Linked DNA regions of Cricetulus griseus. The protein of the gene in region 5 interacts with the protein of the main gene of each other region in a biochemical or structural test. Links are inferred from orthologs where the notes say so. Each region holds a gene or a part of one and is shown on either strand. Other genes may lie near its edges. The genes, in order: Lrrk1, Klhl22, Top2a, Csn2, Plk1, Wee1 and Nedd1.

Evidence for each region.
Region 1: the proteins of Plk1 (region 5) and Lrrk1 form a complex in vitro, tested with the Homo sapiens proteins (2 studies listed by BioGRID, with this or other methods). The link is inferred for Cricetulus griseus from reciprocal best matches to the Homo sapiens genes PLK1 and LRRK1.
Region 2: the proteins of Plk1 (region 5) and Klhl22 form a complex in vitro, tested with the Homo sapiens proteins (2 studies listed by BioGRID, with this or other methods). The link is inferred for Cricetulus griseus from reciprocal best matches to the Homo sapiens genes PLK1 and KLHL22.
Region 3: of the proteins of Plk1 (region 5) and Top2a, one has a biochemical effect on the other in vitro, tested with the Homo sapiens proteins (2 studies listed by BioGRID). The link is inferred for Cricetulus griseus from reciprocal best matches to the Homo sapiens genes PLK1 and TOP2A.
Region 4: of the proteins of Plk1 (region 5) and Csn2, one has a biochemical effect on the other in vitro, tested with the Homo sapiens proteins (3 studies listed by BioGRID). The link is inferred for Cricetulus griseus from reciprocal best matches to the Homo sapiens genes PLK1 and CSN2.
Region 6: the proteins of Plk1 (region 5) and Wee1 form a complex in vitro, tested with the Homo sapiens proteins (2 studies listed by BioGRID, with this or other methods). The link is inferred for Cricetulus griseus from reciprocal best matches to the Homo sapiens genes PLK1 and WEE1.
Region 7: the proteins of Plk1 (region 5) and Nedd1 form a complex in vitro, tested with the Homo sapiens proteins (2 studies listed by BioGRID). The link is inferred for Cricetulus griseus from reciprocal best matches to the Homo sapiens genes PLK1 and NEDD1.

What each region holds. Positions count from the first base shown.
Region 1 is NC_048596.1:130,973,393-130,976,892, reverse strand, and holds part of Lrrk1 (leucine-rich repeat serine/threonine-protein kinase 1), read right to left. Parts: intron 3,485-3,500; coding exon 3,372-3,484; intron 2,935-3,371; coding exon 2,720-2,934; intron 420-2,719; coding exon 255-419; intron 1-254.
Region 2 is NC_048597.1:71,571,253-71,574,752, forward strand, and holds part of Klhl22 (kelch-like protein 22), read right to left. Parts: intron 1,037-3,500; 5' UTR 1,001-1,036; coding exon 774-1,000; intron 1-773. UniProt on the Homo sapiens protein: Substrate-specific adapter of a BCR (BTB-CUL3-RBX1) E3 ubiquitin ligase complex required for chromosome alignment and localization of PLK1 at kinetochores.
Region 3 is NC_048600.1:112,082,388-112,085,887, forward strand, and holds part of Top2a (DNA topoisomerase 2-alpha), read right to left. Parts: intron 1,301-3,500; coding exon 1,069-1,300; intron 916-1,068; coding exon 781-915; intron 658-780; coding exon 457-657; intron 1-456. UniProt on the Homo sapiens protein: Key decatenating enzyme that alters DNA topology by binding to two double-stranded DNA molecules, generating a double-stranded break in one of the strands, passing the intact strand through the broken strand, and religating the broken strand.
Region 4 is NW_023276807.1:152,937,210-152,941,291, forward strand, and holds the start of Csn2 (beta-casein), read right to left. Parts: upstream 2,801-4,082; coding exon 2,729-2,800; intron 2,037-2,728; coding exon 2,013-2,036; intron 858-2,012; coding exon 834-857; intron 750-833; coding exon 708-749; intron 1-707. UniProt on the Homo sapiens protein: Important role in determination of the surface properties of the casein micelles.
Region 5 is NC_048596.1:78,499,339-78,502,543, forward strand, and holds the end of Plk1 (serine/threonine-protein kinase PLK1), read right to left. Parts: intron 2,810-3,205; coding exon 2,654-2,809; intron 1,865-2,653; coding exon 1,787-1,864; intron 1,579-1,786; coding exon 1,424-1,578; intron 1,327-1,423; coding exon 1,144-1,326; intron 1,001-1,143; coding exon 794-1,000; 3' UTR 501-793; downstream 1-500. UniProt on the Homo sapiens protein: Serine/threonine-protein kinase that performs several important functions throughout M phase of the cell cycle, including the regulation of centrosome maturation and spindle assembly, the removal of cohesins from chromosome arms, the inactivation of anaphase-promoting complex/cyclosome (APC/C) inhibitors, and the regulation of mitotic exit and cytokinesis.
Region 6 is NC_048596.1:90,565,998-90,569,497, forward strand, and holds part of Wee1 (wee1-like protein kinase), read right to left. Parts: intron 2,235-3,500; coding exon 2,088-2,234; intron 259-2,087; coding exon 163-258; intron 1-162. UniProt on the Homo sapiens protein: Acts as a negative regulator of entry into mitosis (G2 to M transition) by protecting the nucleus from cytoplasmically activated cyclin B1-complexed CDK1 before the onset of mitosis by mediating phosphorylation of CDK1 on 'Tyr-15'.
Region 7 is NW_023276806.1:158,759,238-158,763,241, reverse strand, and holds the start of Nedd1 (protein NEDD1), read left to right. Parts: upstream 1-1,204; 5' UTR 1,205-1,336; intron 1,337-1,631; exon of another isoform or gene 1,632-1,650; intron 1,651-4,004. UniProt on the Homo sapiens protein: Required for mitosis progression. Promotes the nucleation of microtubules from the spindle.

The DNA.
Region 1 (3,500 bases), about 52 Mb from region 5:
AGTGCCTTGCATGCATGGGCTATTAGGTTTCAGGTAAGTAAGAAAATGACAAGAGCACTGGGCCCTAAGGACCAGGAGGCCTCTGAGTTCTCAGTATGAAAATCATGCAAGGCCACGATTTGGGACCCCCCTGGGAAAGCCCTTCTTTCTCCTGTGCACTGTCCCTTTGTTCTTGATCCACATAATGCTTCAGAACACAGAACCCTGTGGTGCTGGGTCCTGAGTACTAGAAGGCAAAGATGGTGGCTCCTCACCTCGATGTTGAGCAGCCAGAACTGGAGGTTGGCCACAGCTTCCTCCCCCAGTGCCAGGTTCCAGACCACTACATACAGGGCCTTGTCTGTGAAGAAGCACTGATTGACGGTGGCCATGCTGGCAGGACCCCCAATGTCCCAGACGTTGAACTCCACGGACTCAACCTACTTGAGCAAGAAGGCACAGAAGGGGGGGCACATTTGAGTGACCGAGGGAGTGAGGAAACCACAAGAAAGTTTACAACCTGGAATGTGTCTGGAAAAGACAATGCAGTGGTAGAAAAGTTACAGACTCCAGTGTGTCTAAGTTAGCAATCCTGGTGAGGGAAAAGAGCCCAGTGGCCCAAAGGTAGACTTCTGGGAGCTTCTATTTGCTGCAAACAGAGTAGGGCATCTGAGAAGATCATGGCCTGTCATATTGCTTATCTTAGGCTCTCCACAGTTGGAAGACATCTGGTGGCAGAAGGGCCCCCACTTTGACATCATGGCTCCACCCTATCTGTGCAAGGGCCAAATGGAGGAGGCACCCTTGAACTTATGTAGGTCAAAGGTTAGGGCCCACCAATGAGGCTTGGGAAATCCCCCCTGACTTGAGAATCCAACAACAGGAACTGGGCTGCCAGTAAGGCCGTGGAAACGGTTTCTCTATCACTATATGAGCTCAGAGCTGGCCTGGAAACCAAGACTACAGTGAGCTATAGCCAGGAGTCATTTCCATGAGGCAGCATTTGGCCTCTAAGACATACAGCATGCTGACCTGGTTTAGTATACAGATGAAAGCAGACAGCTGTTCTTAGCCAGCTAAAGGTCAGCCGCACAGGGCAGGAGGGGCCCACAAGAGCAGCAGTGGCTTTCGAGTGAAGGCGGTTTCAGGCCAGCCTGGGCACCCATGCACTGAAGAAAAGCTGGGAGCAAAAGTGACTGAGTCACTGACAAAACAGCAAAGCCAAGGGTACTGTAGAAAATTCTGGTTACTTGAGAGAACCGTCAGACGTGAGTCAGCTAGAGTCACTCCCTGTCTGTTCCGAGTAGGCCTGGCATTCATTACATCACTGTTCGGAACTCAACAGGCAGGACCCTGCTCTTATTTTTATTTTGGGTGCTGGAGATTGAACTCGTGGCCTTACAAATGCCCAGCACAGGCTGTCCTACCAATGTGTACTCCTAGCCCCAAGGGTCCTGTTGCGGGGGGGGGGGGAAGCTCCTAGTATGTTTGCTTACACCATCAGAAGGTTCCGTTTCTCAAACTGGATTTCCCTGATTTGGAAGGTGGTTTTATGTACAAAAACTCTGCAGTCAAACTTAGCCCTCATTGTGCTGGGCTTGGAGAAGAAAACCAGGCCCATTCTGGACACAGCCTCTCTGCTTTCTACCCTGTCACCCTTTCTCCACCGGGGATCCCTGAATCACCACAGTGAGGCAGAGACACACATACAGCAGAGGAGGACGGTACTGTCTGGCACTCGGGGAAAACCACTTTATGTCTGTTCTACGGATGGAGTGCTGTTATGGTTTGAACTGGAAATGTCTGCTAGTGGCTTATGTCTTGAACACTTGGTCTCCTGCTGGTGAAATCTTAGGAGGTTCTAGAGATGTGGGAGGTGAGACTTGGGGGCAGTAGGTCACTAGAGGCGAGTCCTTGGGAGGGTATTATCCTGGCCACTTCCTGTCACTCCCTGCTTCTTGTCCCCCACAGTGTGAGCAGCTATCTTCATCAGACACATCAACCATCATGATGTTCTGCTCAACAGAAGGGACCAAGCAACAGTGGAATAAACCACATATATATGCTCCCCTCTAAGTCATTTCTGATAGGTATTTTGCATTTTGGTCACAGCAACATAAAAGTGTAACATAAGTGCCAGGCTGAGGTCCCACTGGTTCTTTTCTGCTTCAAAAGGCTTTTTTAAAAAAAGTTTATTTCCACCTGCTTGGTCCTGAATAGAAAAGAAGATGATGAACAAATTGGTAAAGAATTCATCTTAAACAGGATATTGAATGGAATTTTTTCAGGGCTTGAATGGAAGCAGGAATCAGGGAGGATGATGGACTGACTCCTGGGGTACCTTCTCAGTCTCCTTTTAAGGGGGCTGAGAGATGCTGAGGTACACCTCACTGTCTGCTCTGGTGCTTTGTTCTTAGCCCTAGGGGAGCCCCACCCCAGCCTATTTGAAGCTAAGTCACCGAGGCCAGCTTTGAAGTCTGAGCATGCACTCAGAGAGAACCACAGGGGAATCCAGCAGACAAGCAGGGTCAAGAACCATTGGCCCAGAGCCTTGACTTCATTATGACAGAAAGACTACAAGGTCATGGAAAGAACCGATTCGTCACTCTTGGCAAGAGCTGGTGAGCAACAGCACAGAATGTCTTGGGCCTTGCACTCAGAATGTCCAGGGTCTCCAGGGGAATGGAGAACAGACCACAGGGAGGTCCCTCCCTCCCACTGCATGTCCACCATCCTTCACCTTGGCTTTGGAGCCTGCTGGCCTCTGGAGCTCCCACTTGGTGGTTCTGATGGTGGCCTCGCTGTGTGCTACCTGGGGGGCCTTCCCCGTCTGTAAGATCTCCAGGAGTGTGGACTTGCCCTGGCGTGGGGGACCTACGAGGATCATCTTCATCAGCTTACACTTCTCTGCTTTGCGTAGCTGAGCACGCAGGAAGGACAGTGTCGCTTTGGGGCCTGTGAGAAATCAGAGGAGGGGGCAAGTGAACACCCTAGGTGATGTATAACGGGGATGCACTCACATTTCTTAAGAGGCCAAATTCCATCCCAATTTCTAGGTGTTCCAAGGGAAGATGAGGAATCTGAGAGCAGGAAGGGATGACAATAACTACCCCCAAAATTAAGTGTGACAGCCAGGACTGAAGGACAATATCCTTGCTGCCCTGGTTGCCGTATTTTACTACCTAGCCATTCCCAATTGATGTTGGTAGCTTATCGCTGTTGATAGCTAATCGCTGTTGAGAGCTACTGTGCTGGGGCCATCTCCCCAAACTCTGAGGTTGGAGTTGGGCCCCACAGTTCATTCACCCACTGACTCCATCCTTCAAAGCTACCAAGGGAACCTGAGTTATCTTTTCACGGCAGTGATGTGAACAGGGCTGAGGAGGCCCTACCTTCTTTCCTGATCTCTGCAGGTACATTGCCAATGTTCAGGTCTTCAATGTCCAGTTGCCAGAGGTTTCCCAGCTGGCCTAGCTCAGGAGGAAGCTCTCGGAGGCCAGGATTACTGAAGCGAGCAAGTG
Region 2 (3,500 bases), on a different chromosome or scaffold from region 5:
AATTATTATGCTCATCACACACTATTCTTTCAATTTCCATGGCTTTAAGCCCACAGTAAAGTAAAAAGAAAACTCTCTCTCTCACACACACATACCCCAAAAGCCAGTCATGGTAGGGGGGCAGAGGCAGGTAGATGTCTGAGTTGGAGGCCAGTCTAGTCTACAGAGTGACAGCCAGAGTTACATGGAGAAACTGTCTTGAAAACAAAACAAAACCTCCCAACAACAATGGAAGTCAAGCCAGTAATGATGCAGTTTTGAAAAATGAGAACATACCCAGCAGAGAGCCAAACTGAAAGACAAACTCTTAAGATCTCTTCTGTGCCAGGCTGGTTGGTGGAGTCTCCACAGCTGAGAGCCTCAAAGGAAAGAGAAGACCCAGCCACCTCCAGTACCAGTAACCACACTTGGTAAAGCTAAGACTACCTTTTATCAGTCCTACAGAAACTGTTACAGGGGAGGAGTGCATAAGGCTTCTCCTCCTTGAGGATCTATACACAGTGGTTGCTGAGGGAAGACAGCCACCAGTAAGGTACTCCTCATGTCACTAAATAACCTTTCACCCAACTCTCCTGCTAGAGACCCTAATATACTCAGTGGCTCTACAAAAACAAAACAGAAATGTAGAAGGAGGACTAGTAGGGAAGAAGGCAGTCACTGGGAGTGGAACAAGAGTACTAAGGAGAATATGATCAAAACACATTATATACATGTACGAGAGTATCATAATGAAACCCATTAATAAAAACATTGAAAAAATAAACATAGCTTACCTGAAATAATCACATGATGCAGCCAGCAGAATTCGATGAGCCTCAATGTGTCTCCCCTCTACCACCAGGACAACATCAAAGAGGATCCCACTGTCTCTCAAAGCAAGCAGGCCCCGGAGCAGGGCCTGGGAGTGCTGTGTGCTTCGATAGGTGTTGCTGACATAGTGTGAGTGGGAGGGCTGTGTTGGCAGCTTGCACAGCTGGAAAAAGTCCTGCTCCTCTGCCATCCTGACAGCCACAGCAGCCCTGACCACTGTAGTCAGCTGTAAGACAGAGGGAACAAGGAGTGAGCATGTAGGGAGCTGCACGATGCCACATAGGCTGAAGGCTTTGCACCTGTGGCACCTGCTACAGTGACTTCCCTGTGATCCCAAAGTCTCTATTCCCTGTTTCCTCCCGGCCATGGTCCCACTTGGCCTTCTGTCTTATAACCTGGTCTCTTCATCCACAAGGTCTTCATCCTATTGTGCCACCTTCAGCACTGCAGGAAAACAGAAGTATTCTGAGGCTAGCAGGATGACTCACAAACATAATCCCAGCTACTTGGAAGGCTGAGACTAGAAGATCACAAACTCAAGGGCCGAAAACTTAAGAGAATTAAAAAGAAGACAGGGGTGTGATTCAGTAAAGCACTTGCCTAGTATTTGATCCTGAGCCCTGGACAGAGAAGAATTTTGGGAGAAGACTTGAGGCAGGAAAGAAAGACAGGGAAAGCTAAGAGAACATGGGAGAAACACACAGCCTCTCACTACCACAATCAGGTTTATTTTTCATTGGCTGAGAGTTAAGAATGTCCATGTAACTGTCAAGACACCAAAAGATGGCCTACAACAATATCCCCCACCTTTGAGGAAGATCTCAAACAGGAATACTAAAACAAGCCAGACTCAGTGACTCTGACTTTAATCCCAGCACTCTGAGTTTGAGACAAGTCTGATCTATATAGCAAGTAAACTCCAGGCCAGCCAGGCTACAAGGCAAGACCCTGTCTCAAAAAAAAAAAAAAAAAAAAACAGTGCTAAAACAGCAAATAGACTTTGCTCAGGCCAAACCTATGTGACCTTTGAGTTTATCAGTATTAGCTCTTTCTTATCCCTAAAGCCAAAAAAAGCACCTCATTAACACCTTACAATTTCACAATTTTTTTGTTTGCTTTTCTAAAACAGGGTTTCTCTGTGTAGATCTGGCTGTCCTGCAACTCACCCTGGAGACCAGGCTGGTGTCAAACTCAGAGACCTGCCTGCCTCTGCCTCCCAAGTGCTGGGATTCAAGACATTCACCACCATTGCCTGGTTCAAAAGGAAAATAAGTAGGTATTGGAGAGATGGCTCAGTAATTAAAAGCACTGGCTACTGCTCGTCTAGAGGATCAGAGTTTAATTTCTGGGACCCACATGGTTCCTTATGCTGTTTGTAACTCCAACTCCAAGGGGATCCAATGCCCTCTTCTGGCTTCCACAGGCATCAGGTATGCACATGGTGCACACATATACATGTAGGCAAAACATCCATGTACATAAAATAAAAATAAATATTGCGGGGCGTTGGTGGCGCACGCCTTTATTCCCAGCACTTGGGAGGCAGAGGAAGGAGGATCTCTGTGAGTTCGAGGCCAGTCTGGTCTCCAGAGCGAGTGCCAGGATAGGCTCCAAAGCCTCACAGAGAAACCCTGTCTCGAAAAACCAATAAATAAATAAATAAATAAATAAATAAAATAAAAATAAATCTTTTGCTGGGTGTGATAGCACATGCCTGTAATCCTGGCACTTGGGAGACAGAGGCAGGTGAAGCTCTGTGAGTTCAAGTCCAGCCTGGTCTATAGAGGGAGTTCCAGGACAGCCAGAGTTACAGAGAAACCCTGTCTTGAAACAACAACAACAAAAATCTTTGGGGGAGGGGAGCAGGACTAAAGGATGGCTCAGTGTACTGCTCTCTTCCACAGGACCAGAGTTCAATTCCCATCACTCATGTCAAGCAGCTCACAACTGCCTGCAACTCCAGCTCTACAGGGATCTGATGTCTAGCTTCTGTGGGCACCTGCACTCATATGCACGCAGATATGTAAACACATACACACATACCACATTTTTTAAAATCAAGGCCATCCTTTCAACAAATAAGAGTCTAAGGCAAACCTGAGCTATGTCAAAAAACAAACAAATAAACTCCAAACCAATAAATATTACCTTCTAAAGCTGGGTGTGGTAGCTCAGGCCTTCAATCCCAGCACTAGAGAGGCAGAGTCAGGTGGATCTCTGTGAGTTCAAGGCCAGCCTGGTCTACATAGTAAGTTCCAGGACAGCTAGGGCTAAGTAGAGAAGACCCTGTCTCAAAACAACAAAAAAAAGATTACCTTCTAATAATTTGGCCAGTATGCTCAAAAACTGCAAAATGATTTTAAAAGGAGCCATAAAAACCCAACCAAGAAAACCAAACCTACTACAAATATCCCTTTGCCAACACACACACACACACACACACACACACACACACACACACAGAGAGAGAGAGAGAGAGAGAGAGAGAGAGAGAGAGAGAGAGAGAGAAATATGAACCAGAAACAACTGTGCATAGTCAGCTACTAGGGTCAGGAAGCAACCAGCCTGGAGGTAAGACAGGGCCTGTGGCCAACTATATGTTTTAGCACAGGTCAGCCATTTAGAAGGCCATGAATCTTCTCTATCTTTTGCCTCCTTACTTACCATTCCCAGTTCCCTACCATATATTT
Region 3 (3,500 bases), on a different chromosome or scaffold from region 5:
AAAGAAAAGAAGACTCAAGCTTTGAATCAATAAATTGCATAACCTTTATAAAAATTATCAGAAATGCCCGTTAAATATCAATTATCAATTACTGAAAAAAGATTTTACATCAATGGATGTTTGCCTGCATGTTTGTATTGCAACCTGTGCTTAGAGCACTATCCCATGGAGGCCAAAAGAGGCCCTTGAATCGCTCAGAACTGAGTCACACAGTTGTGAACTGCCTGCCATGTGGGTGCTGAGAACTGAACCCAGTGCTGAGAACAAGCATTAAGTGTTCTTAACTGCTGAGACATCTCTCCAGCCTTTCCTTTTGAGACTATACAGCACAAGATAGCTTTGGAATTCATAGTGATCCTCCTGTCTCTTTCTTCAGATCACTAGGATTACTAGAGGGGACCCACATGCCAACAATATTAGTTTTTAAAGATGTATCTCTTACAAAATAAGACATACCATAGAGTTGCAAGTGAGACTAGTCTGCAGTTTGAAGACTTTGTGTAGTCCCACTCTCTCTGCCTCTGCTAATTTTTCTTCAGTCATCTTTATGACAAACTTGACAGTGGTGTCTGTGTGGTATTCCCTATAGTCTGTTATAAGAGGGGGTGTCTTCTCAGTACCATTCAACATGGGTTCTAGAACCTGTTCTTTGTAAGTCTAAAAACAAAACAAAACAAAAAAAAAACAAAGGACAGTAATCGTTTTATAAGGAGTCTCTTGAATAGTCAACAGCAACAATAACATCTTTCACTTGAAAAACCAAAAAATTAAGATATTTACCTGAGTCCACGTTCTGATGGGAAGCTCTGAGATTTCAATGGTTGTGGAATTTAGAATAGCTACTTCTCCATTAATCACATACTGATTAGAAGCCAGCTCTTCAATAGTACCTTTGAAATTTTTGTAACTTGGGAGCTAAATTAACAACAAAAGTTTTTTAAAAGTTAAATCACAAATATGTTCAAAAAACAAATCTAATATATGAAATAAATCTTGTGTTTGTACACTCTTTACTGTAGAATTTATTCAACTATGCCTGTGGTAAAGTTCCTAACCCACAACACTTACCATGGGCAGAGGCTCTTCTCCATCCAACAGTCGTCTGATATTATTTACGACTTCACGGATATCAAAGTTGGGGATTTTGCAGGACCACCCGGTACCAATTCCCTCAGCGCCATTTATCAGCACCATGGGAATAATAGGAATGTACCATTCAGGTTCAACACGCTGATTGTCATCATATAAAAACTTTAATGTGTGATCATCTTTTGGTGGAAATAACAACCGAGTCAAAGGGCTAAAGAAAGCAAAGAATATCATTTAGCAAAATGGCCTTGAAACTTCTTACATTCGGTTACCTGGGCAAGCCTGCATTCGGAGGGCTGAGGCAGAGACAGATAGGTCTATGAGCTCCAGGCCCATCAAGGAATATAGTGAGATCTTGCTCCAAATCCAAACCCAAACAAAAACCTGCCAAGCTCATGATTTAGTACAGGTAGACAGATAATGAATATGTATTCTGTAGGGCAGAATGCTAAAAAGGAAAATTAATACAGTGAATACTTTGGCACAAAGAAATGTGTGCTATAGTAACACATCTATAACCCTGGTACCTGGAGATGCAGTGAGAAGAGGATTTTGAGTTTGAGGCTTAGCTTAAATATATATTAAGACTGGTTCAAAAAACTAAACCAAATAAAAAAAAGAGTGCTGGGCTGGCTGGGCTGGGCAGATAGTTCAAGAACCTGAGTTGTTTTTTTTTTTTTTCCCGAGACAGGGTTCCTCTGTGGCTTTGGAGGCTGTCCTGGAACTAGCTCTTGTAGACCAGGCTGGCCTCGAACTCACAGAGATCTTCCTGCCTCTGCCTCCCAGTGCTGGGATTAAAGGAGTGAGCTACAACCGCCCAGCAAGACCTGAGTTTTAATCCTAGGACAACCCACATAAAAATGAGTGTAGTAGCATTCATTTATAACCCTAGTGCTGGGCAGGTGAAGACAGGACTTGCAAGCTAGCCAAGTAAGGACTTGGTCAGTGAGAGATGTTGCCTTAAAAATAAGGGGGTGGTTGGCACCCAAATTTCTCCACACATGCATATATAACACACAAAAGAATGCTAAAGTGGGTAGGGTGTTACAGAACAGCAACAGAAAGAGTGTTAAGATGTGAGGCATGAGGCAGGTGCCTGTGGAAAGCTGATATAGAGGACAGGAGTTAGCTCTGTTTTCTCTCCCCCTTTGTGTAAGTAGGTAATATGTATCTATTTAGAGCGTGTTAATATGGACACACATGGAGGTACAAGGACAACCCTGGGTATCAATCTTTGCCTGCCACCTTTTTGAGACAGGGACTCTTTTGTTGCTTGGTATTTATTGTGTATCCCAGCTTACAGGGATTCTCCTGCCTCCACTTCCATTACACCATCAGAGAACCAGGATTACAGACACACATCCGCTGCTATACACAGCTTTTTGTTTGTTTGTTTTTCAAGACAGGGTTTCCTTGTGTAGCTTTGTAGCCTGTCCTGGAACTAGCTCTTGTAGAACAGGTTGGTCTCGAACTCAGAGATTCCCCTGCCTCTGCCTCCTGAGTGCTGGGACGAAAGGCGTGCGCCACCACTGCCTGGCAGCTGTACCCAGCTTCAGATTACTCAAACTCAGGACCACATGCGTGTGTAGCAAGCATTTTACTCACTGAGCCACCTCCTAAGCCCAAGATAGTTTATCTGGAAGACTGGTGATATGAAAAAAGATCAAAAGATATAGGGAGCCCCAGGTCAGTGATCTCACAAGGTCTGGTTAGCTAAATTTACTCTGGGCAAGTAGAAGGCTCTGAACCAGTGAGTGACCTATTGTTAAAAACTAATTGGTAGGGGGCTGGAGAGATGGCTCAGAGGTTAAGAGCACTGACTGCTCTTTCTGAGGTCCTGAGTTCAATTCCCAGCAACCACATGGTGGCTCACAACCATCTGTTATAAGATCTGGTGCCCTCTTCTGGTGTGCAGATATACATGGAAGCAGAATGTTGCATACATAATAAATAAAATCTTAAAAAACAAAACAAAAAAACACTAATTGGTAGGAACTTAGGAGGCAGAGGCAAGTGGAGCTCTGTAAGTTCCAGGCTAGCCTGGCCTACAGAGTGAGTTCCAAGATAGCCAGAGCTACACAGCAGGACTTCAAAAAAAAAAAAAAATTCTTGTCTTTTGTATGTAGGTATATATGTATGTGTATGCATGCATGTAAAGGTCAGGTCAACTTCGGGTGTCATTCCTCAGGAGCCACCCACAAGTTTCTGTTTTTTGAAACAGCATCTTTCACCTAATTTGAAGCTCCATAATTGGCTAGCAATTCCCCTAGGAACCTGCCTGTCTTCACTTTTCCAGTGCCATTATATCCCCTTTTAATCAAAAATAATGTTATGTGTATAGGTGTATTATCTGCATGTATCCCAGTGCACTATGTGTGTGGGTTGGTGCCCAAGGAGGCCAGTAGAAGGCA
Region 4 (4,082 bases), on a different chromosome or scaffold from region 5:
TATCAATTTTTAAAATTTTAATTTGACTTGAAAAATGTGAGCAACAAGCAATTTACTGAGGAAAACAAACTATCAAAGTTCAACTATTATGTAAGTGTGATTTAATAGTGGAACTTGACACTATTCAGAAAAGCATTGATTTGAAGGCAACCTCTTCTACTATACAGCTTAAGCAGTGGTCCAATCAGTTGTTCCATATCTCACTCCACTTATCTTTGAACTAGAAATGCCCTTAAGACTAGGTAAACATAAAGTACAAATGTTTTCATAAACCAAATGTGAATTAAAACCATTAACTCTACTAAAGGCCAATTAATTGCATTCATGGAAAAAAATTAAGATTGTGTTCAGCTTACAGGTGAAGAAAATGAACTATAAAGAGACTAATAAGCAATATTATTCTTCTGGCAGGTGTTCAGTATAGGATTTCTGCCACATTCTCAATGTGTCCTTTCATCATCATATTCATTTAGAAAATAAAAAGGACATTGTTTCTACTGGGGAAATGCTTATGTTAATTATTAAGAACAGATAATACCACTAGTAACTGCAATCATGATTTAGAAAATACATTGACACTTGAGTATGCTTTCATAGCACTGGTGGTATATGACCACTGTTTGCTATGAACATACATGCTATAATTATTTTCTGGCATTCATTACACATCACAAAACCAAGACATAAACTCTTCAAGAGCAATTTACCCTTGCTTGCAGCTGTTCCATTTGTCCAACCATCTGAAGTTTCTGTTAGAAACAAAGTGTACATTAAAAATCTCAAAACTTTTATCTTCATGAATAAATCATGGATATTAAATATAATGGGTTTACCTTACTGATGCTTTCAGAAGATTCCTTCAGAAAAATAAAAAAAATAATTAATTTTTACTGAGTAAATAGTATTTTCAATGGGTATTAAAATTAAGGTATCTGGTAAGCTATTTTAATAGGTTACTAATAGGAAAATTGATGAAATCTTATATTTAAACTATCTAAAACATTTTGTATAAGCCTATTGTATACAAGAAAGATGAGTGTCATCAAGAGAGAAAAGTGAATGAGTGAGCACAGTATATAAAGAGACATCTAAGCAATGTTAATTCCCTTTACAACCATAGTTCTTTCTCTGGCTACAAATGATCTTTAAATCCCATTTAATTCTTAAAACCAAACACAGAAACAGAGTTGAAAATACAGTCTAATGACAGCTAAGAGTACTTATTATAGTACTTGCTAATATACTAGCCTCCAAATAAACTATGAGAAACAAACACTTCCTCTGAGCATTTGTAGAATTCTGAAAAGAAATGTATATAATTGTATTCACTAATAAACAAATGATAACACATACAAATAAATAGTTCAAGGTAAAGACTGAGTGTATCTATTTGATACACTCAGGTACATTTAGGACTATATTGCATCTTACTTTTTTATTTACCTAATGACAACTTTAATAACCAAATGCATCCTTTTGCAAACAGGCCTACCCAGTATAGCACATGTATGTATTTCTATTGGTATCTGTCTTTAGTTTGGACTGTAGCTACTAGCCAATGAGCAATCCATAAAAAGCACATAGTAATAATAAAAATGCATGTCAAATTAGGGAGAGCTCTTGGCAGAGAATACGATTGTGAGCTTCTCAAATAAAAAGGTGTAGAAGAGGCAGTTAAAAATTTCAAATAAGAAACTAACTTGGAAAATTCTAATTATGCAGCTATCTAGATATTTTTCTTCCCAATACAATGCACAGCATATTTACCAAACAGGAATATGTTATAGTGTGGCTAACACAATGTAACTCAACAGAAAAGAAGCACTTTGGTGTTCTAAGTCTACAAGTTGCCTCTGAGACAGAATTGCTTTCCCTCACTGCTGGAAATGCTCTCAGTATGCAAAAACATTAGTAATACAAATGTGTTAATTTATAGATCCAATTAGGACTTCCAGATCATTAAAAATATAGTTATTTTAGGATTAAAATTTTTTCTCAATAAAACCTCTTACCTCAGAGGATATGCTGAGTGATTCCTTTTGTAAAAAGAAATAAAAGTACTTATTAGTGACAAAATCTACCTTGCTACTAAATATCCTTCCTATTTCATTTTTATGTCATCTACCTCTTTCAGAAACTTAAAAACCAAAAAAGTTATAAGCCTTTTAGAATCTTGAAAACACATTTACTCTCTCTAATAATTTAATAATTTTTATTGGCACATTCCTACATTGGATGAACTTGGGGAATTTTTGATGAGTGAGGAAAAAAGAAGTTACTTTAATTTCTACTAGGCATTTTTTTATTATGCCTACAAGTCTACCACAATTCTTGAATATGTTCCTTCCTCTGAATTTCCCTTTGGGCAGACACAGTAAGACTTGACCTGATTATCAAAGAAATGCATGCACTTTATCACCAGAATGAGATACTGAAGCCACGTGTGTGAGTCTACTTCTGTGGAGTTATATTTACTTGATGTATTTCTATTTTCTTGTTTTACTTCTTGTCTGTTTTACTTTTCATTTGGAACTGGTGGTCCAATAACACAATAAGCATTTGTTCCAGTTTTGAGAGCCTATAGGAACTTTGGGACAACAAAACTTTGTGACTCTCAAAGAAGCATTGATTAAATAAACAGATCTGAAGCTCTCCATTAATTACACACTGAGCCATCACTACTGTTACTGTCTACAAGTGAGAGGACCGTTCACTACATCTTAATTACATAGGAAGCTTCTTTACCCACCTCACTAGCAAGAGCAAGTGCCACAAGGCAGGAAAGTATGAAGACCTTCATGGCTGTCAGGTCCTGTGAATGAAAAGATGAACGAGTTGTAAGGGATGAGTCAATTAAAATCTACTCTGGCTCCTAAATATCCTATGTCTAACATCAAATTCAGACTTCAGCAGCTACCAGCAGTATTTTCTGCTCACAGCTCTCTTCCTTTCTTCTTTGTTAGCACTCTATTGTTAATGGGAGTATGGGCGCCTTACAAAACTATGAAGAAGTCATGACTATGGAACCCTTTTAATGAAAAAACTATTCAGCATTTCCAGATTATGAAGACATCAGCACTAGGGAGCCTCACTTCTAGAGTGAAATAATAGACTGTGCATAAACTGTTGTGTTGCTGGTGAGTGATCTCAGCATGAAAAATAAAAATTTAGATATGTTTACAAAGCATTCTTTCCAATACTTGACGGTGGAAAATTATTCCATTAGTAAAAAGCTGGTTTGGGTTTTTTGGATGGATGCTGCATAATTCATTAAGAACCTTTCCTTGTCTAAAGACTCCTCCATGGGTTTCCATATAATTTAATTGTCTTAGTTTAAAAGAAATTTGTACCCTTGTAGATTATGCATGTAGGGAGAATCCCACTGCAATTCTTATATTTTATCCTTACCATTTTATGTATCCATCTTTAAACTGGAACTTTGTTTTTACCTGGCACACTATAAGCCACTTTTCTTTCAACTCATCTTATTTCCATAATCATGGTTTCAAAGTAATATCTAATCTTCCTACAATTATTTTACAAACAGAAGACTTTGTCTCTATTTTTACAATTGTTAATATCTCACATGTAAAACATTATGAGCTAGATCAAGAATTCCAAGACTCTGGACAAGTTTTACGGTTGTAATCTTCTTGTGTACAAAACATGTAATTTGTTGCTTCTAATTGTTGCCCAAGAAATATCAATCTTTCCATGATATAATTTGAGTACATTTTATTACTAAAGAACAGCAAATCAAATAAGATAGCTTATTAAAGAAGTCAATCCTTAGTCTCTTCTTTATACCATTCACTGGCCTTGTATTTATTGTTACATGTTCTTGTTTTCATAAAGCCAATAGCCATTGTAATTTTTACCAAATCTTTCTAGACATTTCTATATTTTAAGCCTTGCTTTTAAAATAATCTCATTACTTCTTAAATATCTAATTTCAAAAAACTGTAATTATATTATTTCCATTATTTCTAGTCTAATTTAGTTCTAAATAAATTATGAAAATAATATGTCAAAACATGTCTGAAATTCTTACCTTTCGTGGAGGACAAGAGTGAATGTGAAGC
Region 5 (3,205 bases):
TCAGTGAGAGACCTACTCCGTGCCATGAGGAATAAGGTGTGTACTAGAGCCTGGGTGGGAAATGGACCAGGGATGGCCTGGCATAGCTAAGCCAGGATCTTTGTCCTACCCATCCCCAGAAGCACCACTACAGGGAGCTCCCAACTGAGGTACACCAGGCACTAGGCCAACTCCCTGCTGGCTTCATCCAGTACTTCACACACCGTTTCCCAAGGCTGCTGCTCCACACCCACCATGCCATGAGGACCTGCGCTTCTGAGAGCCTCTTTCTGCCCTACTATCCGCCAGCTTTGGATACCAGGAACTCCTGCCAGATGCCACAAAGAGCTCAGACAACCAGGGGCTCCAAAGGTGGACCAAGGAGTTAAACACATGGCTCAGTCTGGTCTCAGGAGTGTCAGAAAAGATGGGCAGCGGTTTAGCAGCCTGAGGCTGTTGGAGCAGAGAAATACTTTGGGGTCACGGTACCCTCAAGAAATACAGAATTAAAAAAAAAAGGGGGGGAGGCAATGTACATATATTTAATGTATATAAAGCTAATAAAAGGGCAGTCCCAAGTTCAATAGAAATATCTATACAATCCATACAGTGGGCTGAGGGCAGGGGAGGAGGCTGTAACCCACACCCAAACATGTACAAAAATAACTTACACAGCAACCCCTTCAGGGGGGTGCACTGCTCCCCACCCAGCCCCCAGAGCCAGGGAGCACTGGACAGCAGCCCCAGGAGCCCAGCAGTGCAGGCCCACACAGAGCTTGCAGAGTGAAGCAGCACCAGTCCGAAGGACAGAGGCCTAAGAGGAGGCCTTCAGGCGGTTGCTGGCAGAGCGCGAGCTTAGCAGCTTGTCTACCATGGTACGGGCATAGCGTAGCCGGCTAGCCAGTTCCTTGCAGCAACCATATTCCTCCAGAAGACTTAGGCGGTATGTGCGGAAGTCCCTCTTCTCATCGATATAGGTCACTGCTGCCATCAGAGGGCACAGGATAAGTTTTGTGTGGTCCTAGGAGGGAAGAAGGAAGTGAGTGAAGAGCTCAGCTGGTGCCTGAGGTTGAGGCAAGGGAAGGAAGGCACCCCAGCTGGCGAAAGGGACATTACTCCCACCCCATCCAGCCACCCTAAGTACAGGCGCCTGTCCCTGCACACCTGAAAGAAGTTAATTTGTACAGTCCCATTGCTGAGGTGCAGGATGATGGCACTGCGTGTGCGGAACCACGTTCGCAGGTAAGGCAGCCGGGCCAGTTCATCACCTTCCCGAGGTGTGATGTTGGCCCCTGCCTTCAGCAAGTGTTCACTCATGTAATTTCGGAAATACTTCAGGAGCGTGATCTGGTTGAAAAGTTGGGGTAAGGATTCCAGAATAAGGGCCTGACCCTGAGGTAGCCCCCATACCCTACCAAACCATCCCTCAGCAGTCAGTTCCCACCTTCTTCATCAACGAGTTAGGGTGGGAGCTCACGGTGAGGTAAGACTCTGTGCCATCACGTTCTATGTACTGTAGGCTGTCACCGTCATTGTAGAGGATGAGGCGTGTTGAGTCATTGAAGAGCACCCCCACACTGTTGTCACACAGCTGATACCCTAATGGCAGGTGGAAGGCTATCTCAGAAAGGCAGGAGGAGGTGGACAAAGGCCTGGGAAATAGCTTAGTAGTAGAGTGCCTGCATGCATAAGGCCCTAACAATTCTTGGTAACACAGACACACAATTACAGACATCACTTGCTCCTCACTCAAAGGCTACCATGGCCACACCATCCCCTGCCCATCCCACATTCTGGAGACACCTACCAAGTCCATACTTGTCCGAATAGTCCACCCACTTGCTGACCCAGAAGATAGGGATACATGCAGGATCCTCAGCCTCCTCTGGGATAGAAACAGACCACTGGTTAGGCCAGCCCCTTCTCCTGTCTTCTCAGGCAGCCCTCCCCAGGGCTGGGAGGAGGGGGGTACCCCATGAAGCCTGGGGAGGAGCCTGACAGTACAAACCTAGACACCCAAATGGAAAATCGCAGCCCAGGATGCCAAGTCCCTCTTCATTAAATGGACCCCTTTACTGTGTCCCAGGAAGGAGAGGACAGGAAAAGAAAACCCCAGGTATCTAGAAGGGCCCTCGTTCCAACCACAGAGATGAAGTGTGATCAAAGTCTCTTAAGCTGCTGTCATTAGCACTGGGGCTGGTGAAGGCCTAGTGCCCCAGATTAAAGTGACGAAGAAACTGAGCAGACCTGACAACTCCTGCAATGCCAGAACCAACTCAGTGCACACAAGACCCTTCTGCAAAGACACAAATATGTTGGGAAGAAATGTTATAGAGAATTATGTCAGGCTGGGAAGTGCTGGTAGTGGGTGTCAGGGTGGTGACAGAGGGCACAAAAGCCCTGAGGCTGGAGTGGTCCCGAATCTTCTGAGTACCAAGGGAGTATTAATTCCCTGGGCAGAAAGGAGACACAATAGATGCAGCTATGCCGAGGTGACCTATCAGCCACCTATAAAACAAGAGGGAGCAGAAACCAGCAGAAGGTACACCAAGGAGGGTCTTGGGTGTCATGCTGACTCATCTGGATTTTGATCTATAAGAAATGGGCTCTCTGCTGTGCTGATCGAGATGCCCTGCCTTCTCCACATGTTCAGCCCCCTGTGATGTCCTCTCACCTTGCCGCACCAGCCCTCGCTCTGAGGGCTTAGAGGCATTGACACTGGTCAACTGCTGCAGCAAGTCACTAAGGTGGCACTCAATGGCTTCATTCGTCTCCCGAACCACTGGTTCCTCCTTTTCCCGGGGACGGTCAGGCAATGGGTTCTCCACACCTAAGAAGATGAGCAACATGGTCATTCATTGGCCAGGCACAAAATTGGGGAGGGAGCACAGGATTACCTGCCACAGCTAACAGTCTTCCCACAGTACCCATTAACTATCACTGCTGTGGGGGAACTGAGTCAGTACCAGGTTTTCTGTGTCAGGTATGTGGTACATACTGAGAGGTCACAAAGTGTCAGGTGCTCAGGTCTCTGCTCCAACAGCCTGGCCTTCCAGGACAGCAGCTGTCACTGACACTCAGGGAGGCAGCCTGAAGGCACCAATTCAAGCAAAGAATGAAGGTCACCTTGTACACCCAACAAGGTGGAAGGATGGGTGAAGTAGTATAACCCTTTTGCTTTGTGTGCTTACAGATAACTAAGTCTAATGAAACACACATTGAAGCG
Region 6 (3,500 bases), about 12 Mb from region 5:
ACAAAAGGCCCCAACATGAAACAAGACGGAACATGAGGACTATCACATAAGTTTGTCCTCTAACATCTATACATGCTCTGTTGCACATACATGCCTACCAGGCTCATATCTACTCACTCAACACCCCCAACTCCTAATTTAACTTATCATTAATAGTTTTACCTATTTTAAACATAACTTTGTTGGATATCCAGTCATCTTCATCTCCTTCTTCAGAGACAGCATTCGGGATTGAGGTTCGAGATATGAAAATATTACCTATTGAATCAAAATAACTATATTTAACAAACAAGGTCAAATATAAATATAAATAATACCAATAAAGCTAGGAGTGGTGGTGCATGCCTTTTAATCCCAGAACTCTGGAGGCAAAGGCAGGCGGATCTCAATGTGTTTGAGGCCAGTTTGGTCTACAAAGCAAGTTCCAGGACAGCCAGGGCTACACAGAGAAATCCTGTCTTAAAAAACCCAAAATAAGCCAGGCGTTGGTGGCACACACCTTTAATCTCAGCACTCGGGAGGCAGATCTCCCGAGTTTGAGGCCAGCCTGGTCTACAGAGTGAGTTCCAGGACAGCCTCCAAAACTACAGAGAAAACCTATCTTGGAAAAACCCAAAAAGATAAAGTAGTATTGCCTAATCTTACAGATTCTGATCTCATGACTATTCCAAACATTTTTTCCTGTTTTTGTTTTTGTTTTGTTTTTTGGAGATATGGGTTTACTTTTGCAGTCCTGGCTAGTCTGGAACTAACTATATAAACTAAGCTTGGCTTCCACTGCCTCTGTCTCTCAAGTGCAGGTTATTGTCTACGACACTACATTTGTTTTTGTTCTTCCTTTACAACAAACTTTAGTCAGGTGAAAAATTTTTAACTGCAACTCACAAGTTGTATAAAACTACTTAAGATTTCCCAAATTGACATGCTCCCTTACAATAAAAGCAAATATTTTTATCTGTAAAAAGTTTTATCTATAAAAATTTTATCTTTTTTTTTTTTTTTGGTTTTTCAAGACAGGGTTTCTCTGTGTAGCTTTGGAGCCTATCCTGGCACTAGCTCTGGAGACCAGGCTGGCCTCGAACTCAGAGATCCGACTGTCTCTGCCTCTCGAGTGTTGGGATTAAAGGCATGCTCCACCAACACCTGGCAATATAAAATTCAATTTTAAAGGAACCTTTTCAAAGATGTAGAACCCACATGGTGGCTCACAAATGCCTCTAACTTCAGTTCCAAAGTTTTCAACATGCTTGTCTAGCTTTCAAGGGCTTCTGATTACAGATGGTACACATAAATTCACTCAAATGCACACATATACATAAATTAAAAATTAGTTGCTTCCCCCAAGACAGGGTTTGTGTAACAACTCTGACTATCCTGCAACTTGCTTTGCCTCTTGAGTACTGGGATTAAAGGTGTGTGACACAATACCATCTACTTAGTTGATTTTTGTTGTTGCTGTTTTATAAGAAAAGCACTTTGCCTGCAATGGTTAGTTTGAAACCATCAACCCTTCTAACTTTCAATTTACAGGAAATATAAGGAAGATATAAGCTAAAAATACAAGAAAGCAACAAGTTAAACATGGGAGTTTATCTGTAGGACTAAGCCTACAATTTTTAAGAAGTAGAGAGGATGGGAAGATGTCTCACTGGTTACGAACACTAGGTGTTCTACCAGAGGATCAGGTTCAATTCCTAACACCTACATGGCAACTCTCACCTGTCTATAAATCCAGTTCCAGGGATTCTGATACCCTCACAGACATACACAAAGTCAAAACACCAATGAACAGAAAATAAAAACAAACTATAGATTAACAAAGAAAAAATGTAGAAGAGTGAAACCTGAAAAAGGAAAATGATATAGCCAGATGCATAGTATGATACTGAAACAGATACCAGTTTAAAGGAATCAACCATGAAATACTTGGGCCAGTTTGGGGCAGGGGTAAGGGGTCTAGTCCTCATCATAAAACAATACTAGTAAGTAATCAATGAAAAGTAGAAAGATGTTTTCATATTGCTACAATGAAGTAATTTATTCCCATTATCCAGGTTCTAAACAGTACAGCCATCTAGAATACTTACTAGGTTTTATATCCATATGAACCAAACACATTGAGTGTATGTATCTCAAGCCCCGGCCAACTTGCAAAAGCAGATCCTTTAGCTCTACTTCAGTAAAGTAGCTCATGGTTCTGTAGTTCTCACTTATAGCATCAGCCAAACTCCCACCTAACAAAAACAGCAAAAATTAACATTTTTGTTAATTTCCTTTTATTAAAATTTACCAAAACATTTTTTATGTTCCCTTCTCTCTATAGTGAACAACTGCAATTCTCCATCAAGAAAATGTTTAATAGAATCTCTCTCTTCAACTTGCTTGCGATATCAACTTTTATTTATTGTTTTAGTAGGAAATACTAACAAATATAAAAAATACAATGTAACAAACACCAGGCTTGGTGATGGAGGCACATAATACTAGCTATTTGGGAGGCTAAGGCAGGAAGACCATAAGTTTGAGGCCAGCTTAGTCTACAAAATGAATATAAGGCTAGCCTGGATAACTTAGTAAAGACAGTCTCAAAATTTAAAAAGGGCAGGATTCAATGCCTACTGAACATATATAGGTCCTAGGTTAAATTCTCAGTGCTGAGAAGGAAAACATGATTTAAATTTTCTTTCAACTTATTAACCTCAGCAACCAACTCAGTTCACTTTCTCAGAGTAAACCATCTGTTTCTTCCTCTTTTTCTGAGGGGGAAACCTCCAGAGAGAACAAGAGCAGAGCATGGTGACACACACCTTTAATCTTCAGCACTCTGGAGGTAGGGGCAGACAGATATCTTGGAGTTTGAGGCCAGCCAGAAATACATAGCGAGATCCTGTCTCTAAATAAACTAATAAACCAGGAAAGGGAAGAGGTCTTTACTATCTACATCACTTACTGACTCACAAATTAGACTGTTATTCATGAAAATAAACAAGGGTAAACCTTACTATATCAAGTGTTTCTAAACCTTTTTTTTTTTTTTTTTTTTTGAGACAGGGTCTCTATGTAGCCCTGCTAGTTAGCCAACTACATTTCTTTTTTTTTTAAACAAGATTTTTATATATGTAATGTATATCTGGAAGGTAGAATAGGGTATTAGTGCCTTTCTATCTTTTTCTTTGAGGCAGCATCACTCCCTGAATGCAGGCAGGGTTCATTCACATTTTCTCTGCTAAACTACAAATGAGCAAGCCCCAGTGATTCTCCTGTCTCTGCTTTCCTGGGAGCTGGGGTGGGATAGAAGCATATTCAGGAAGCCTAACCTGTTGCATTGATGCTGGAATTTGTACTCTAGTACTTGTTATTGCAAAACAAGCACTCTCAACCATCAAGCCATCTCTGTGGCCCTCTAAACCACACACTTCTCATCTTTATGGAAACAATTTAAAAATAGAAACAATCCACTGTGTAGGCTTAGCCAGTTGGAGGTAGCGCATGCCATTAAT
Region 7 (4,004 bases), on a different chromosome or scaffold from region 5:
ATAGTTTTGGTGTTGACGTTTTCCCACACCATATAATACAAATCTTAAATTTCTTGCTGGTTACAGTGTTAGGAATTTGTCTCTTCTATTTGAAGCATACTTCTCTTCTTTACTCGACTTTCTCAGATCTCAACGTGTTAGGCCAAATCCCCAGCAAAAAAACATAATAAAACCAAAAGCTTCAGAATACCTGAGGCAGATACGACTCACAGCCTTCATTTTATGGTTGCTCCCCATCAGTCTCTGGAAGCTATGTAGGACTTCATTTTCCCTTCTAGGGGTGTGTGTGTGGGGGGGTGGGGGCGTGGGGATTGGGACATTGTAGGCTTCCAGTTATGCAGTATGGGTACAGATAACCGAGACATTATGTACCCAGTTCTGAAATACATTGCGTGTGCACCTAGGACAAACGTATAAACTTTCCATAGAAACACCGTCTCAGTAATCAAAGTGAAAATTGTCACTAGAGCAGTCACTTAGCAAGGAAAACTCAGTTCTTTGGTTCTTTTCCACCCCGAGACAAATTCCTTCAGAAAAAGAACCACGGAGTTGGTGCTCATGGAACCGATCCAGCAGCACAAGAGGCTTGGGATTTAAAGATGGTTAGCTCAGAGGCTTAGGCCACCTGAGTTTGTTCTCAACCTCCAGGGTTAGGGTTCAATTTGGGTTAGGTCTTTCTTAATTATCAGCTTCACGCGGCTGCTTCTTCATGGAATCCTTTCCTAAACCAACATCCACGTTAATTTCCTTTATTAGAGACTTCCTCACATTTTCTTTGTGATGACTGTGACATCCTTTTGTGGCAACTGACAGCTGCCAAAGTTGGCCTCTAGTTCCCTGTCTTTTACTCTGTTATCCCTTTCCCTTTTCCCCTTATGTTTACATAAAGAGTTGTTAATACTAGCTCCCTACGTTCCCCATCTTTTACTCTGTTATCCCTTTCCCTCTATGTTTACATAAAGAGTTGTTGATACTAGCTCCCTACAGGCCACTGTGAGCTCCATCAGGCCAAGGGACCTGAGAGTTCACACATCTACTGTTCCTCTAGGCTAAGCCCATTAGTACACACCCACAGCCTAACACAGTGCTGGACACACAGCAGCAACCAGCAACACGAAAGTAACAAAGGCGCAGTAGCTACAAGGATAGGGTAGCTCCCTTTGCACCGCCCCTGTCTGGGCTCCCACCCAGCTGGCGGGACGCTCAGACCCTGGCTTCTCCCGTGACGTCACGCGGGGCGGGACTTCCGGCCGCCCAAGTTTAACAGTCCAGGCGGGAGCGGAAGCGCAGCGAGGAGCGGCTGGAGCTGGGCCCCCTGTGGCCCCATACCGGAGAGGTGAGGTTCCGCCGGATGCGGGGCTGCGAGCACCCGGCTCAGGGCGGCGGCGGGGACCCCGGGGTCAGTCGCCTCGGCCCGGGACGGGATCGCGGGCCCCAGAGTTGCGGGCAGAGCTGTCCCGGGCGGCCTGCTCTCTCTCGGGTCCGCAGCCGCCCTGGGCCTGGGGTGCGTTCCGAGTGTGGCTCGGAACTCTCTCTGAGCGACCGATATCAGATCCCAGAAGTCAAGCGAGGAGAAACTGAAACGACCTGGGCAGGTCGCTTAACTCAGCTTTTGGGACCCTTGATCCACCGGTTGCTCCACACTGCCCAGTAGGCACCTTGTGCGGCATTATGATAGCAACTTGTTGCAGTTGTGTCTACTGCACTTAAGAGTTCTACTCTCCACGCTTGCTTTTTCCTTGAGCAGGGCAACGGGGCGAGTAGGGTACATGCTTCATAGTCACCGAGTAGAAACCTTGTCTAAGCCAGGCAGTGGTGGCGCACGCCTTTAATCTCAGCACTCGGGAGGCAGAGACAGGTGGATCTCTGTGAGTTCGAGGCCAGCCTGGTCTACAAGAGCTAGTTCCAGGACAACCTCCAGAGCCACAGAGAAACCCTGCCTCGAATCCCCTCCCCCCCAAAAAAAGTGAGCTATCTACCGTACAGTGGCGGCGCACACCTTTGATTCCAGTGCTCGGGAGTCAGAGGCAGGAAGATCTCTGTGAATTTGAGGTCAGTCTGGTCTACACAGCAAGTTCCAGGACAGCCAGGGCTACACAGAGAAACCCTGTCTTGAAAAAAAGTGAGCTATCTAGCCCAGATTGGTTTTATTTCTTTGAATCAGGGTGTGATTCTGTAGCCTAGTCTGGCTTCAAGTTCATGTCAGTCCTCTTTCCTCTGCTTCCCAAGGGATGGGACTACGGGACTATGGGTAATGCTTCATCATGCCTGGCTCCTCAGCTGTAGAGACTTAACTTCTTAACTGAAGCTTTTGGAAATTTTTAGACAGCAGTGAGCCGTGTGAGCTATGTTCCCTGACACCGTCCCAGTACACAAACTTCTTCTTCTTCTTCTTTTTTTTTTTTCCTCGGTTTTTTGAGACAGGGTTTCTCTGTGGCGTTGGAGGCTGTCCTGGAACTAGCTCTTTTAGACCAGGCTGGTCTCGAACTCACAGAGATCCACCTGCCTCTGCCTCCCGAGTGCTGGGATTAAAGGTGTGCCCCACCAACGCCCGGCTGCACACAGACATCTTATAGCTAATTAAGACCACCCATAGTCAGGCGGTGGTGGCTTGTACGCCCTTAGTCCCAGCACTCGGGAGGCAGAGGCAGACAGATCTCTGTGAGTTCAAGACCAGCCTGGTCTACAAAAGCTAGTTCCAGGACAGCCTCCAAAGCCACAGAGAAACCCTGTCTCGAAAAACCATGTAGACCATGCTGGCTTCACACTCAGAGAGATCTGTCTGCCTCTGCCTCCCAAGTGCTGGGGATTAAAGGCGTTTGCCACCACCGCCCAGCATGCCCTAATTTTAAAAACTTCATTGATTTTATTTACAAAAAAAAGTTGGCTACAGCCCACTTCATTCAAATTCATTGCTGTATATTAGTCTTTAGATACAGGCAGTAGAACTGTTTTGTTGATGGTTATTATTGGGTAATAATACAGTATTCGTCTGTTTGTTTTTAAGATATGGTTTCTGTGTAGCCCTGACTGTACTGGAACTCAGAGATCCTCCTGCCTCTGTCTCTGGAGTTCTGGGATCAAAGACTTTCGCCACTATGCCCAACCCTATGGGTCAGTACTCTTGTACCACCTGTACTGAGGTTTCGAGTATGCCTTTCCTTTCTTCTCTCCTGTGTATTTTTTTTTTACACTGTCTCCTACACCACCTGCTGCTCTTCAGAGTATCTCCAGCAGCCTTTCAAGTTCTCTCTGGACTACTTTGGCTTCTGGTATCACTTTGTTGGAATTATGGTTTGGAATATCACACTGAATAAAAAGTGAGAGGTTGTGAACCAAGAGTTATAGTTAGGACACATTGACAATTTCTTTAAACATGTTGCTAATTTTAGAGTTTGAAAAACTTGGGATAATGGGATTGAGGCTTCTAGGAATACTAGATTGTGCTACTTTTTTTTTTTTTTTCTAAAGATGAGAACATAGATACTCTTTTTTGTGGTATACTTTATGGATCAGGAATGTTTCAAGTCTCCTATATGGGGAGGCAGATATTGTTATGGGAACAAATAAGACAACAGAAGTTTCATGAAAAACATTGAGTTGGGTGGAATATAGGGTAACTGGTAAAGGGCTGCTTTCACCACAGTAGATAGGAAAACTACCTTTTAGAGGCAGAGATATTTGTGCTGAGACCTGAATGATAAGGGCATGGCTTAGGGGAATCTGGGAGGAGCTTTCCAGGTAGAGGGGGCAGCAGATGAAGAGACACTAAGATGAGGATGACCTTGGCTTGATACATAGACAAGAAGACCACCAGTGTTGAGATCTAGTGGTCCCAGAGGAGAGAGCTGGGAGATCTGCATGGACATACCTATCCTGTAAGGTGGCCTGAGGAGTTTGGGATTATTGGGGCTGCTGGGGTAGACTCCTGGGAGGATGAGCTAAGAGTATGTGATTTGACTAGTCTGTAGATCACTCTAGTGTGTATGATGTTTGGAATAAAA